Linked DNA regions of Cricetulus griseus. The protein of the gene in region 2 interacts with the protein of the main gene of each other region in a pairwise test. Links are inferred from orthologs where the notes say so. Each region holds a gene or a part of one and is shown on either strand. Other genes may lie near its edges. The genes, in order: Pdlim7 and Gem.

Region 1 (4,523 bases), on a different chromosome or scaffold from region 2:
AGTGAGATTAAGGAGGTAAAAAGCCAGGGGGCTGGACAGCTTTATGGATGTGGGTGAGTCAGCCTGGGAGCTCTACTGAGCTGCCCAACCCCCAAATCCCAGACATTACCTCATTTTCCAGGCCTGGGCCCACAGCCAGGCCTCGCCCCTCCTTCCTCCCTCTACTCTGGGGTCAGGGGAGGGATAGCAGGCTGGCCCAATTTAGGAAAGACCACCCCACCCATTCCAGGGCAGGGCTCAGCTGGTAGCCCCACCCACACGTTAAGGCTGCTGACAAAGGAACCCAGGGACCAGAGTGCCTCCAACAGGCAACATCTAAGAGGCCATCGTTACCCAGGAAGAAAGCAAGCCCTACACCACACTGGCCAGCACTCCCGGGAGGAGGGAGATGTAGGATGTGCATGGGGGGAGGGCCCACTGCCTTAGTCACCCTGCTGGTTGGGGCGGATTCCAAGAGGGCCCCAGGGAAGGGTCCTGGGAAGAACGCAGCCTGTTTGTCTGTATGCCTGCCCTAGCCTCGATGTCCGATATCTGATGTCCAGCTCCCACTGAGAGATGCAGCCTTGACACCCCTCTCAGGCTGAGCAGTGTCGGGAAGTTCTCAGGCCCCTTCGGGCTGGGCTTGCCTTGGGCTTCCTGCCAACAGCTGCATGCCTACTCTGTGGCTGGGTGGGCCTCTCTAGGCAGGAGGCTATCAGGGCAGGAAGTCCCTGCCCCTTTTTTGACCCCCTAGGCCAGTCAGAGCTACCAAGCTGGCGCCCTGGCCTCACCCACTCTGGCACAAAGTTTGCTTTGAGTCCCACTGACACAAAATGACTGATGATCAGGTGAAGGGCCCACCAATGGCGCTAAGGGGCCTAGACCTAGGCCAACCCTTTTGGGTTCTGTTGACTGGCCACTGTTGGCCATCCCAGCTGGGGCTACATTCTTGGGCTTATAAGGCAATCCCCCTGCCACAGGGAGGAGTCAGCTCCCAGCCCCACCCCCCATCAGGGCAGACTGAAGAATGGGAACAAGAATCCTGGAGGCTAGCCTCACTACACCTCTGCTTAGGGTCAAAGGTCACTACAGCCTGACCAGAACCAGCAGGCTGAGGACCTGAGTCTCAGCCTGCTCAGTCCTCACTCAGCTGGGAAGAGACCCCTTAAACTTACAGGAAGGACAAGCCATTTTGTGCCTCAGTTCATATTCTTGCTCTGCCAGGGACTTGCTGGTTGAGCTCCTCCATCCCTCCAAGTCCTGTCACTTGGCAAAGCAGGATGACAACTGCTATGCCTTGGATAGCAGTGACATTAAAGTTAGGTCCTGCCTGGCACCTGGTGCCACACACTGTTCTTCATGCTAAAGCACTTCTTGGAGACATCAACCTCCCATATTGTAAAATAGGCTTCTCCTTGGCACTCACAGATGGCCAAGGGGGCTTGGAATAGCATCAAGTACCATGTCAAAGCAGGGCAGCTGGGGGGGGGGGGCTCCCCATTCCACTATCCACCTAGCCAGGAGTCCTTGAAGTAAGGGCCCATTTGGACCTGGATGCTGGTGTCCTGTTGGCCCCTGAGCAGCTTGCTCGCTCTTGCTGTTTCTTCCCACCATTTGCTGGAAACATGGGCACCCAAGAACCCTTGGGGAGTGCATTCCCCAGTCTAGGCTTACCCGAGAGATGGAGAGGGGCACATTGAAGTCCTTGCCCCCTTGCAGCCGGAAGCCCCAAGGTGCTGGCCCCTCCAGCACTACCTTGAAGGAATCCATGGTGCCTGCTCCTGTGAGGACAGAAGAGAAAGTGAGTGGCCGCACCCAGCACTGCAGATGGCCCAGCAGGTCCAGATCTGGTCACTAGCGTTAGCCAGGTACCAGAAGGCACAGAGAGACGCTCAGCACACACAGGCACTGGGAGGCAGGTATCTTGTTGGGTTTGGCGGGGCTCCCGGCTGGCAGACCTCACAGGCAACAGACAAGTCAGTTCCCCACCCTGGCCCCTGCCACTGGGAGGGTGAGCAAAGTTCTCATCAAGTCTAACTTCTTTTCTCTCCCGGGGGTGGGCTGTGGGGCTAATTGGCACTGCTTCGCCCAAGCTAACCTGGAATCTCAGGAGGGCGGCAGGGTGAGTCAGGGGCCAGCTCCCCCTCCTTCCCCGGGTCCCAGCAGGCCGCTGGAGCCTGCTCGGACTATATAAGGCGTGTAAGCTGACACTGTGGAGAGCCCGTGGAGGGAGCACTTTAGGGGCTCGGGACGTGAGGGGGAGGGGCGAGGAAGGAGGCCGCTGCAGCGGGTCCTAGCCATTTTGGGACAGGTCGAGGCTGCTGGAAGCCAGGGTGGGACCCCGGGCACTGCAAGGGGGGTAAGAAACGGGGCGCTGTCCCCATGGAGAGTGGCGGGGGTCATGTCCCTAACGCGCGGCCAGGGAGGGGACTCTTTCTGGAAGCCAGTAAAAGTGGTGGCACACACGCACGAAGCTCCCTTCCCAACGTGACTCTGTTTCCCCTCGTCTCCAGCCCCAGCCCCGCGCTTGGTCGCGTCCCCACCGCACACGGTGGCGCAGGCGCCAATCAGCCGCACCGCCGCAGGAAGGCGGGGGCGGAGGCTGCGGCCGAAGCCAACCGAGGGGATCCGGCGCAGGCCACGGCCGCCACGCCCCCCGCAGCACCTCAGCGGGCCACGGGACCCCACGGGGTGCAGCCCAGGAACCCCCCGCGGCCGCCAGTACCTGGGTGCCCGGCTGGGCCGCGGCTCGGCGGCCTCCGGGAGCCTTGCTGGGATCCGCGCTGCGCTCTGACCCCGCCTCCGCGGACGCCGCGCCTTTTGAGCCCGCGGAAGGGGGCGGAGCCCTAGGCCACGCCCTCCCCAGGCCACGCGAGTGGACATCCCGGGGTCGGTGCGAGGCCCCACCCCGTCCCCAAGCCCTGAGTCTCCAGGACAGGGACGGAGGGTCGCGCATTTACCCGGGCAATGACCCTCCCGAGCCTGGTCGCCGCCAGCCTGCGCCCCGCTCCGGGCTCTCACCCAAGCCCCTTGCGCCTCCCACTGGCGAGGGGGAAGAGAAAGCAGCCTTTTAAAACACCCCGGCTGTAGAGGTCTTCTCTCACCTCATTCTCCCCTTGTAGGGGAGAATAGCCTCATAATACCCTTCTGTCAGGGATACGGTACAGGTCAAAGCGGCCGTGGTCCGCGCCACCGGAGATTTCAGAATTTCTGAATTCCAGGGAATGGAGAAGCAGCGAGACAGGGTAGTTGCAAGTTAGCTTTCCCGGGGCTGGGGATGTAGCTCAGTGGTAGAGACCCCTGGTTCAATCCCCCAAACCAAAGCCAACCAACCAACCAAAGCTAGGCTTGCAGGATAATCTGGAAACCAATACATAAGGAAATAAATAATAGATAAACAAATAAATAGTAAGAGCCAACGGAGTTGGAGGAGGCCCTTAGCCCCACATGGGGCCTGACAGTAAGAGTCCATCCAGACAGAGCCAGCAGTCCACAGCTCTGCGACATCCACCAAGCACCACTATTGGGACGGACTGTATCCCCTGAACACCCCTCCCGAGCACACAGTCCGTCCTGTGGGGGTGGGGTGGAAGGAGCTGTCACGGCAGAGGGAAGGAAAGCCGATTCTCCTGAGTGTTAGAGTGAATGGTGGGGGGCACGACCCCCCCCCACGCCCTCCTACCATCCTTACATACATCCCCCTTCCCCAACATTGTCCCGACGGCTCAAACTCCTGCAGGAGATGTCATCTTTGAAGAAATGCTCCTTGGTACTCTGCTGTTCTGTCTGCGTTGCTTTTTCCTCTTGCTGTCCCTTGTCTCTATGGTACTCGAGGTCTCCACGACCTCCATCAAGTCAGCTGCAGCCTTCAGGTCTCATCCCGTCCTGCTGAGGCATGCTGGTCAAGGCCAGGCCGACCACTCCCTTTCTCCATTGCTTTCTTTTCTTTTAAGATTCAATGCCCTCTTCTGGCCTCTTCAGGCACGAGGCACACATGTAGTGCACATATTAACATGCCGGCAAAACACTCATACACATGAAATAAAAGTAAAAAGAAATAAGGGTCCCCGTGTAAAACACCCATACACATGAAATAAAAGTAAAAAGAAATAAGGGTCCCCGTGTAAAACACCCATACACATGAAATAAAAGTAAAAAGAAATAAAGCTCGCAGTGTAAAACACCCATACACATGAAATAAAAGTAAAAAGAAATAAGGCCTCCCCGTGTGGACGGGCTGGCCCTTTGGCCCTTGAGTGTGCATGGATTCCAGATCGTCTAGCCTCTACTTCCTGAGAGCTGAGACCACACCACCAAGCCCAGCAGCTTCCTTGTCTAAATCACCTTTCCCCAGGCTTCTCAGGCTTTCCTCCCTCAATATCAGGCTGGTCTCGAACTCACAGAGATCCACCTGCCTCTGCCTCCTGAGTGCTGGGATTAAAGGCGTGCGCCACCAACGCCCGGTTTTACACTCACATCTTAAGCGCTCATATTGTCCTTTGGCTTTCAGTAACACCAAAAATGGCCAACCCGTGCTTCCCCCC
Region 2 (3,805 bases):
TCAAATTCACATAGAACAAAACTGGGCAACACTTCAATGATTAGACACACTCCTGTTCTAGGTATTCTTCATAAGCTTCAATATTCTGCTGCCCAAAGAAGGCAAAAACAAAACTCATGTGAACCCCAAATATGCCCTTAAATGAGTCTCAGGTGCCCATGTAGCAAATCAAGATGTTCCTATGAATAAATACTGACTCTTGACAAAGATTCCTTGCCCGTGCACTTGGTTGCCCATGAGGCTAACCTGTTGGTTCCCATTTGCAACAGGGGAAGCCACCACTAACAATGCTTATGTATTCAATCTAATATAGATCACTGGTCCCAAGGGCCTTCTACGATGTCCATCAAGGGGACATCTGGGTGACACTGGGTGCCTAGAGAACAGAGAGGTCATGGCAGGATTTTGACTTGAGCTTGAAGGCCATGTTCTTGTTGTTCTTGGCCACAATCTTGCCCCAGAAGCGCCTGGCTTTCCTGGGGATGCTCTCCCTCCTCTTCTGGTAGGCCAGCCTCCTCTCGTTCTTCTCCTTGCTGTCCCGGCGCAGGCGGACCTGCCTCACGATGCCCTCAAACAGTTCCTTCACATTGTGCTGCACGGCTGCAGACGTCTCAATGAATTTGCAGTCGAACACCACAGCACAAGCTCTCCCTTCTGGAAAGGAGGAAGAGGAAAGAAAGTCAGAGGGGTCACAGAGTATGATCCTGCACAGTGTGGTCAAGCTAAAGGACACTTCTCCAAAACTGCAATAGAGATAGCATAGAGCAGTAGACTGCATTGTAAGAGGAGGGGGGCACCAGGGCACACATCTTCCCCCGGGTAAGAGTAGAAATAAACAATAAGAGGATTCCAGGAAACCGGTTAGATCCAGCTCACCAAAAATTCACTATGGAAAAGTAAAATTTCATCAAATACACTGATACTAATTACAACAGCAAGAGCCCTGGCCTCCACTTCCTAAAGGTTTGCTACATTCACAAAAGCAGGCCAAGTTCTTTCCAAAGCCTTTTCACTGCTCAGAACAAACTTGGAAAATATACCATTATTATCATCGGAGAGACGAAGAAACTGAGTGAAGTGTTTAAAAATGGGAAGGAACTCACACAGCTGACAGTGACAGGACAACCAGCCCTGTTCCGTGCTCAAGCTTATACACTTTCTCCTGACTCAGTGTCCCTCACTAAAAACTCTAATTCCAAGTTTACTATTTAGCTTTCCTGTCTTTTAAAAAGAAAAGTATGATGAGATGAGATCTTTTGAGGAATATGATGATTTTATAAATATATAAAACGTCAAACTATTCAAGCTTTTCTAAAACTCTTGATTTCAGATATTATGTTTAGTAGCCATGTGTCCAAGTTTGAGTTTGAAAAGATCTAAACACGGAATACTGTGGTGTCCTAGTAAGACAGTCCAAGTAGCTAGAAAAATCATTTTGACTGAGCAGGGCCTGAAAGTGCCATATTTCATTTTTATGGTTCTACGCAATCTACATTAAACCAATATAATCTCGAGGGCCTTAAAAAGAATACAGAGGCACACTCATCAAATAGGAATGACCCTTGAAATAAGGATGGAGACTCATGTGTGGTCCCAACAGTATCATGCTCTCCCAGAAGTTTAGGAAGGAGGGGCTGGGGTTAGAGAGTATTAGATGGAGTACTAACAACCCAAGTATAACTGTTTCTTTTGTCTCCTAACCAAGAGCTCCCCATCCTTGCATTAATACACCACTTTTCCTCCCCTAAATGTAGAATCTGCTTGAAGAATAAAAGGTTAAGAAGCAAAGGTCAAGACTGCCAGTAAATTCCTGAGGATGCTCTCTTCCCTAAAGTAACTCCAGGAGAACACCCAAAGGGCAGTGGGAAGCCTGGAACCCTTTAGGTAGACCAGAGGATGAAGAGAACAAGAGATGACTAACAAAACTGATGGGAACCATTGGAGTCTTAGACATAAGCCTTCATGGAGCATCCCACTGAGGCCCTGGAAAAGGGAGAGAGAACCCCACTGTGGTCCAGTGTATGCAGTACAAGGGCGGTGCCCAGAATTGCACACCCTCTCACCTGACACAGACACTTCTCGGCACCTCACTAAGTCACTTTTGTTGCCAACCAAAATGATGGGAATGTCTTCTGTCTGTCGGGCCCTGCGGAGCTGGATCCTTAGCTCAGATGCCTTCTCAAAGCTCGCTCGGTCTGTGATGGAGTAGACGATGAGGTAGGCATCCCCAACCTGCATGCAATGGTCCTGGAGCCATTCATTCTCCCCCTAATGAAATACGAAGACCTCCCGTGAGCTTAGGCAAGCCTGAAAATTGAGGTGTCATTTTGCAAAGAAACTGCATGTCTATCCCAAGTAAGAGAAAGGAAGAAAACTGCTTCCAACACCTCAATATGCATTGTCTTCCAAGATGTCTAGGGACAAAAAAAAGCAGTCTGCATTGTTTTTATGCCCAAGAAACTTATTTTCCAATTACTAGTACAGCTTGAGCTGATATGGTGCATAGCTACTGTGACAAACAGTATTTCCGATTACAATCTAGCCTGCCCAAAATGGACTTTTCTGACTCCCTAAAAGCTTCCTTTTGTTTTCCCCAAAGGGCAGAACTACAAATCCTTTGGGAGAATAGGAGGGTTCTCAATCAACCAACAATCTTGCATATGTACTGGGAGACCTAGAACCATCAAAAGCCATGCTGGAATGCAGTGTTGAGAAGGTCAGCTTCACACAAAGTGGTTTTGTGTCATTGAAAATAAGTGACCATGCTTGTTTGAACTTTCCCTAAAACAAATACGTTTCTTGTGGTTTTTAATAGAACTCAGGGCAAGCCACTGCAATTTGTTTGTTCTTTAGGGCTCATCTGTGGACGACCTGTTCCTCAGCAGTCTCGTTCTTCAGAAGTAAATGTTTTTAATCAAGAAAATGAGCCCACTGCATCTGGAACATCCACTATGTAGGACAAGGTCACTCTGGCCCCAAGCAGCCTGTTGAAAGGCAAGGCCTAAAAGAAATCACTGGCAGCCACAGGCCCTGCATACCTTATTTTCCCACATGTCCAGGAGGATAATCGTTGCACTCTCACCATCAACGACCAGGGTGCGCTCATATGTGTCTTCTAGAAAAGAAAGAACATTGCTATCAGAGTCAGGTGATTAAGAAAGACTTGGGCATAAGAGGCTCCTGTCAAAGTCTCACTAGAAATATGTTCTGTGGGGGCTGAGGAGGCATCTCTCAGTAAGTAACATGCTGACTGAGCAAGCGCAAGGACTGAGTTCAGTCCTCAGAACCCATGTGCAAAGCCAAGCATGGCGGTGAGCACTTGTAACCCTTGCTTTAGGAAGGCAGAAACAGGCATATCCTTAGGGTCCACTGGCCAGCCAGCCTAGCCAACTCAGCTAGCTCCAAGCCCAGAGGCTCTGTCTCACAAAACAAGATGGCTGTCTCGGGAAGAACAACCCGAGTCTGACTTCTGGTATCCATGTGCACATGTACACAAATCTACACATATGTGCTCTCACATGAACATGTTCCTCCAGAGAGACAGACAAGACAGAGAATGTACTTAGTGCACATGCAACAAATATGCAAACATATAAACATTTTCAAAAGTAAATTACTATCGTAAGGGCTAGGAAGATGGCTCAGTTACCTCTGGCCCCTCTGTGTATCTTTATGCACACATGAACACACAAAACCATAGCTCTCCTACAACATGAAGCACACAGTCCTCCAGTCCTACTAAGAGATCTTCCACAGCATTTGTATATGGATGGTTAAATCACTTGAATTAACAGCAAGTCATTTT

Evidence for each region.
Region 1: the proteins of Gem (region 2) and Pdlim7 interact in binary tests that used the Homo sapiens proteins (3 or more experiments, as listed by UniProt). The two-hybrid records come from large-scale screens. The link is inferred for Cricetulus griseus from reciprocal best matches to the Homo sapiens genes GEM and PDLIM7.

What each region holds. Positions count from the first base shown.
Region 1 is NC_048596.1:274,497,937-274,502,459, forward strand, and holds the start of Pdlim7 (PDZ and LIM domain protein 7), read right to left. Parts: upstream 2,829-4,523; 5' UTR 2,705-2,828; intron 1,761-2,704; 5' UTR 1,750-1,760; coding exon 1,654-1,749; intron 1-1,653. UniProt on the Homo sapiens protein: May function as a scaffold on which the coordinated assembly of proteins can occur. May play a role as an adapter that, via its PDZ domain, localizes LIM-binding proteins to actin filaments of both skeletal muscle and nonmuscle tissues.
Region 2 is NC_048595.1:125,845,490-125,849,294, reverse strand, and holds part of Gem (GTP-binding protein GEM), read right to left. Parts: intron 3,116-3,805; coding exon 3,039-3,115; intron 2,269-3,038; coding exon 2,064-2,268; intron 655-2,063; coding exon 377-654; 3' UTR 1-376. UniProt on the Homo sapiens protein: Could be a regulatory protein, possibly participating in receptor-mediated signal transduction at the plasma membrane. Has guanine nucleotide-binding activity but undetectable intrinsic GTPase activity.